Saccharomyces cerevisiae S288C: one gene and its partner. The gene in region 2 interacts genetically with the main gene of each other region. Each region holds a gene or a part of one and is shown on either strand. Other genes may lie near its edges. The genes, in order: SIP3 and DAL80.

The links.
Region 1: mutations in DAL80 (region 2) and SIP3 together harm fitness more than expected from each alone (negative genetic interaction), as found in Saccharomyces cerevisiae (one large-scale study listed by BioGRID).

Annotation. Positions count from the first base shown.
Region 1 is NC_001146.8:162,244-166,177, reverse strand, and holds the start of SIP3 (Sip3p), read left to right. Parts: upstream 1-1,857; coding exon 1,858-3,934. Other genes in the region: trifunctional dihydropteroate synthetase/dihydrohydroxymethylpterin pyrophosphokinase/dihydroneopterin aldolase FOL1, read right to left, coding at 1-1,555. UniProt on the Saccharomyces cerevisiae protein: May be involved in sterol transfer between intracellular membranes.
Region 2 is NC_001143.9:505,005-508,207, reverse strand, and holds DAL80 (Dal80p), read right to left. Parts: upstream 1,311-3,203; coding exon 501-1,310; downstream 1-500. Other genes in the region: DID2 (Did2p), read right to left, coding at 1-269; YKR032W (uncharacterized protein), read right to left, coding at 1,377-1,691; SPO14 (phospholipase D), read left to right, coding at 1,813-3,203. UniProt on the Saccharomyces cerevisiae protein: Negative regulator of multiple nitrogen catabolic genes including the allantoin pathway genes.

The DNA of each region.
Region 1 (3,934 bases), on a different chromosome or scaffold from region 2:
CGGAAAATGAATCTGGTGTAGCGTTGAAGATAGCCATGATATATGTAGGTGAAACAGTAATTCTGTTTGTTTCTCCAGTAAATTCGTCAAGTTTTGTAGCGGTCTTGAATTTCAAAAATCTAGGCTCCACACCACTACGATAAGGCAATGGAACTAATTTCCATAAGGTATCTTCATCATGCTGTTTGTCGTATAACTGTTTTAAATGGTCTACAATGGGTTCCGCTGTCACAGGATGAAGGTGAACGGGGGATATTAATTCACATAACGGCTCAAGAACGAAAGTCCTCTCCAGCATTCTAGGATGCGGTATATTCAAATCCGGTTCATTTACTATAATATCTTCTCCGGCGCTATTCAAAAACATAACAATATCCAGATCTATTGTTCTCGGACCATTATCAAAATGCTTGACTCTTTGCAACTCTTCATATTCAATTTTTTTACACAATTTTAATAATTCGCTTGGGGTCAGTAATGTCTCCACCTCAACACACCCATTCATGAAAGGGGTTTGATCTTTGAAATACATTGGTTCACTTTCAAAAATAGACGAAATATTCCGTAATTTAACCGTTTTTTCCCTTGATAATAATTGCAACGCCATTTGAATGTGTTTGAAACGGTCCCCAATGTTTGAACCAAACGCTAAAAACGCTCTTTTCCATGTATTTTTACCCTCAATAGGAGTGTTTTGTGATGAAGACAATTGGAACTTAATATCAGACGATTCATGTATGGAGGAAAGATATGGAATATTTACCATCGCAATCTCCCTGGGCTCTCTAATACAGCTTACACCAACACCTTCTGTGGCTGTGATTGCGTTTAATTTCAAAACCTTCACCACCAAAGGCGAATCTGGAAACTTTTGAAAATACTCGTTATGGGCAATAACAGCTGACACAGATTCTACAAGAGCTTCCACAGTCTTGAAATTTGATTCCTCCACAAACTTGACAACGTTATCAATTATGCTTTGCACTGGCGGTGGCAATTCGGCTTTCTTTGGCCAAGGCAACTTTATATCCAAAGTTACATACTGTTTCTTAAGTCTCTCAAAGGTGAAAACACCAATCAAAGTCAACATTTTTAACTCAGATATCCTAACAACGTCAAATTCCTGTGATTCTGGATTCCCTCTTTCTTGTTGAATAATACAAGATATGTGGTCACTTCTAATATGCGTTGTATCCGCCTGCACTTCTAAATTCAGACACTCGACACCAGAATATTTGTCCATAACAAATTGAGACACAGATTTAGCCAAATTAGAAACAGAACCCCAATTCTTTTTTTTGCTGACGAAATTCGTCAAATCACGAGAAATAACTGCATAATTTAGAGAATATTTCAAATCATCCGTAGCCGCAGATTTACTAAAATCTGTACCCATATCTAAGCTTAGTAGACATTTCTGAGGCATTAATTGATTCCAGGAATCAGGCCCAAGAACTGTATTCATCTCTAGTTTCTTAATGTGCACATAATCTCTCATGCCGCCTAGTGGTACACTATGTCTTGCAGAATTGACAGTAGAAAATAGCTTTGACATAGCCAAAGGCAAAGATTGAAACTTGTTAATCAAAGAAGACGCTATCACTTTTACTAATTTTGCATTTACTAAAGGAAAAAACCTTGTTCTTCTGTTTTCGATGACCTTGCAATTTATCATAAGTTTTTCAAATTTTCCTTTTATTATGAATTTGCGCAACGACACCAGCGCTATTGCTAATGCGTTCAAAACAGGGAAAGTACACGTGAAATTTTAAACTACTAGGTGTAACTAAAACATAGCTGCATGAGTAGACCTGTTGATCAATTGACATATTGCAGAGATATATCATTACTTGAAATATGTCCGTTCACGGGAGGGATCCCAAAAAGAGGCAGTTAAGGCTAATATCGGTTGCATTCAAAGAAGCATCAATTGACTCTCCTTCCTTTCGTGCATCCGTAAATTTCTTCCAAACAAGGGTGGATGCATTAGAGGATTGGATAGAGAAGACTGTCGACTTTTTCGATCAGAAATATAAGGTGTCATTTGAAGATTTTCGAAGAGCAAAGGAAACTCTCCTATCCCAATTGTTACCTCCTCCAGCCTTGCTGAGCAACGGTTTTGTCAGTAACCAATCGTTTACTCCCAGGCTGATTGATAGTTTTAACAAGGACTATTATGACTTTTCTATGAAATTACTGCAAATTGTAAAGGGTGATGACTCTAGCCACTCAACCGCGCTATTAGAACTTATGACTACTGCAATTGAACCCTACAGAAACGTGAGAAAAAATTTCGATTTTTACCAAGGTAAATATGACAGTATGCTGGCATCCTACCAGGCTATAAGAATTTCAAAAACCAGTTTAGAGCCATCTTCTATCAAAAGTGATGCCTTACAATTATTTGAAGTGCAAAAAAACTACCTTAAGGCCTCCCTAGACCTCATAAGTGCCATATCAGCAGTAAAATTAAGCTTAGATAAATTCATACTAGAGTCAATGAAAGTATTAAAGTCAAGAAGCATTTTTATAACGAAAGATTCTGGAAGGAAAATAGATTTATCTCCTTGCATTAATGAGTATTTAGACAATTACGCAATATGGGTAGAAAATTCCATCGAAGGATCGAAAGTATTGGATTCTGATATCAGTAATGCAAAAAAGCAAGCATATAGGTATACCTTGAAACGAATTACGCCGTCAAGTGACACAAGTGATTACAATATAAGATCAATACATTCCTCGAAGCTGCTATCAAAGGATACGCAAGTGCCTCCAAAATCGCCCGAAAAGTCTGGGTGGCTTTATATGAAAACACAGGTTGGAAAGCCTACCAGGGAAATATGGGTGAGAAGATGGTGCTTTCTGAAAAATGCAGTTTTTGGTATGTTCCTTTTGTCGCCATCGAAGACCTACGTGGAGGAAACTGATAAGTTTGGTGTCTTCCTTACTAATGTGCGCTATGACCCAGAGGAAGATCGAAAATTTTGTTTTGAAGTAAAAATATTTGGTAATAAAGTAACAGAGGCACATGATAACATGTCAAAGGATATCACGTTGGTCTTTCAAACTTCAAATTATCTAGATTTGAAATCATGGTTAATAGCTTTTGAAGCGACAAAAAAGTATGTCATGAGTATACAACATGATAGTCTTGAATATGAGCTGGCGTTTAAAAGATTTTCTCCCAAGTTTTTTGAATTTGCCTCTAGTACAACCACCTCCATAGATCAATTAATCACAACATTTGACAAAGAAACCGAGTCCTTGTATGAAACGCTGAACTGCTCAATCTCTGAATATGATATTTTGACTTTAGGAGAGGAGAAGGTGTTTCAGTTCCAAATGCCAACAACACCAATATCTACAAAAATGACACAACTGGCTATTCTGTCTAATTTCCTCACAAAAGGTAGCTGGTTCCCTAATGCTGTTCTTGCGAATATATGGGGCACGACCGATTGGAGTGAATATACTATATTGCCAGGAAAGGGAAAGAAACCCTCCTCTTTATTAACGATCGATGGCAAAAGGCTTCCAATAAGAAACTCCACTATATATCCTCAATATTATTCTAATGAGTTGAAAGTGCTTGATCTACAGTTCAAGTCATTAGTATTTTCTCCGGACCAAAGGTTGGAGAAGCTACCGGAAGAGCTTTTACTTTTCAAGTTTGAAGCATTGTGGTGTCCTAACAAAAAGCAGAAGTTCTCAGCTACCTGCTTTTGCACAAAAGACTACATTTATTGCTACATGAATTCTATGGAATTTATCTGTCTTACAAAGATCAGCTTGTCTGAAATCGTTTCTGTAGAAGCCGACAGATCATCAAAGAAGACCTTAAAACTTTACGATGCCAGCGGTCTACAAATGAAAGCAATCGTTTTATTTTCTGACTATAAGCTTATTGCATCTAAGTTGCAATATCTGTTAG
Region 2 (3,203 bases):
CTCATCGTGACGGCGGTTTGTACCCTTGATGCGACCGAATCCACCCGTGATGCCAACTTCAACAGTTGTAATCTTTCATTTTTCTTTCTTATAGCATTGGATGCATATATACGAGATATATCTTCATTTTCATTAAGAGCACGTTTGAGCTTATTAGTTTCCTGTTTTTCTTCCTTTGAGGCTTTATTGGCTTGCTTTTGTAATTGTTTTGATGTAAACTTTAGTTGGAAAAGAGTGTTTTCCAAACCTGCTGCAGAATTACGTGACATTTCTCAGTGCGATGTCTGACTTCCTATACTTTCAAAGTAGCTCACATCTCATCAAACTGCTTTCACATTGATTCGTTTTCATTCTTATCATTTCTTTAGGGGCAATTTTCCAGCACCAGATAAATGGCAGTGTGTTACCCGTTCGCGTAAAAATAAGTGTCACTAAATCATATTAAATTTTATATACTATATCCTGTTATATTTATACTGTCATGAACGCTACATCCTTTCTTAATGTTGTGGGTGAGATTGTACTGAAGCTCTGGAGTGTAGTTCCACTTCCAGTTGCTTGCATTTTTCGTTCAGTTGGAATATGTGCTTTTTGTATAGGTCTGTCACCAACTCCAATTCGCTTATCTTGGTCTTCAATTTGATTACCTCCTCCTCATTATGTAGCTTCCAAGTTAGTTCTATTTCTGGTACAGCGGAATCTGAAAAAGGTGAGGGTTCTAATAATGTTGACAAATTAGGCAGCCTTGTCAGCTCTATATTTGACGTGTATATATCTGAACCGTTGATCTGATAGAGGTAGTTTTTCCCACTAGGTTCGCAGGGGTCCAAAGAAAATTTTCCCCGCTGCGTGGAGCACTCCTTTGTGTTGGGAACGGTTTCCTTTGGTTTTAACAGTGGCTTAATGGACCCGCTCACCATAAACTTTTCCAGAATAGAAACCTTCGGATTATTCGTAGGTAATGAACCACCACCAGTTGTAAGCAGTCTCTTCTTTCTCTTGAATATTTTATTTGGGTCGTTAGAATGGGTATTGGCATTAGTGTTCACATTGTTGTTATTCAGCTTTTTCCTATTTCTTGACTTAATGGTGTCCGTCTTCAAGCTGATAGGCCTTGGTTCCCCGTGCAACTTCAGGAAGAGGCCACATGCATTACAGAGAACAGTACCGTGTTCATCTCTTCTCCATAGGGGCGTTTTGACAGTGAAACAATTCTGGCACGTGGGGTGGTCCTCTCCGTCACAATCATCCACTCCAGCAGCAGCTGAAAGTGTAGGCGAGGGCAGCTTCAACGAATCACTAAGCACCATTCTCTTATATATAATATGATATAATATAATGTAATATAGTATGACGGCAGATAAACAATATCCCGCTCAGTAATACAAAATTACTACTGTCTCAGAAAGAATAACCAAGAGAAAATCGAAAAAACAGTAACTGTATCCAAATTCAAGCTGACGCTGGATGTATATATATACTAAGCAACACTTGCTGATTACAGTCCAGGGATGCCGCCACAATGCAGCGAGATAAGCCCAGGATCGGTTTCTATCAAGCATTCTTTGCTGTTTGATTAGCACTAGTGATAAGTGATAAGGTGGAAACTCGTTATCAACGACAAACGGGTGAAGATTGCTACAGCCCTTTGGGTTGAACAAAAGACACAAACATAACGATGAATACGCCATGGGGAAAGATTTAGTGGGAAATTAGCAGGACATTATAGGCACGACCGGTCACTGATAATTCACACGACGCATTGAGAGGCACGTACGCAAGAAGAAAAGGTAGGATAGATAAACAAGGGTGATGTCTAACGTGTCAACAGCGTCTGGAACTCACTTCGCTCCACCTCAGGCAGATAGATCGGTGACTGAAGAAGTAGATAGAGTAAATTCGAGACCAGATGAGTTAGAAAACCAAGAAGTATTGCGGCAATTACCTGAGAATGGCAATCTGACTAGCAGTTTACAAAGAGAAAAACGAAGAACTCCCAACGGCAAGGAGGCGGAGAGGAAGCATGCATTGCCCAAATCCTTTGTAGATAGAAACCTGAGTGATGTGTCACCGAACCACTCATTAGACCATATTATGCACTCTAATGAACATGATCCTCGTCGAGGTTCTGATGAGGAAAATATGCACCGGCTCTACAACAATCTCCATAGCAGTAACAATAATGTTCATTCTAAGCGGAATTCTAAAAGAGAGGAAGAAAGAGCCCCTCAAAGGCGTTCTTCTTCTGTAGCTTACACCCAACAGCAGTTCAATGGCTGGAAGAAAGAGTTTGGCCACGCTTTTAAGAAAATCTCTGCTATTGGTAGACTGAAATCCAGCGTAAATTCTCCTACACCGGCTGGAAGCGGCCATCGTCATAACCAGCACCAGCATCAACAAGTAAACGAAGAAGATTTGTACACACAAAGACTAGCCTCTGATTTATTAGATTCGTTATTGGCAGGATGCCCGGCCTCATTGTTCGCAAGCACGCAATTTCTGAGAGACGAACATGGGAAGAGAAGGGCTCCTCTGCTATTAGCTAAACTAGATGTAAGAGTGTCTCCCTTGAAAAATGACAACAACATTTTGGATATTACCAATAGCAACCATAACCATCGTGGTAACAACAACAACAATACTGGCGAGAATTCTGATAGGAGACCCTCTATTCCAAGGAGCTCCAGCATTATAAGCATTTCTTCGAATGTGGCGGAATTTATGTATAGCAGGAACGAAAACTCTTTATTTAGAATACACTTGGAATATGGGATTGATGAAGACAGGCTCAAATGGTCTATTATAAGAAGTTATAAAGATATCAAATCACTACATCACAAATTGAAAATCGTCGCGTTCCAACAACTCACTATAAGCAAGCTTTATAGTGATAACAACAGATATCATTCGTTACAACTTCCGCATTTCCCCCATTATAAAGAAATGGTTAAAGAAAGAAATGTAATGGAGAAAAAAGCAGAAAATAAACCATCCTCTGCAGCCTCAGCTCCTCATACATCGGAAAATAACAATAACGATAATGGCAGCAACATTACATCGTTAGAAACTTTATCATCTTCTGAAATATCTGAGTTTAATATAGATAACGTCAAAATGAAACATTTACAAGACTTAATTGACGAACCTGACGATTTCTCCCAACCGATACATTTGAGGCTAGAAAGGTATTTGAGACTACTGAA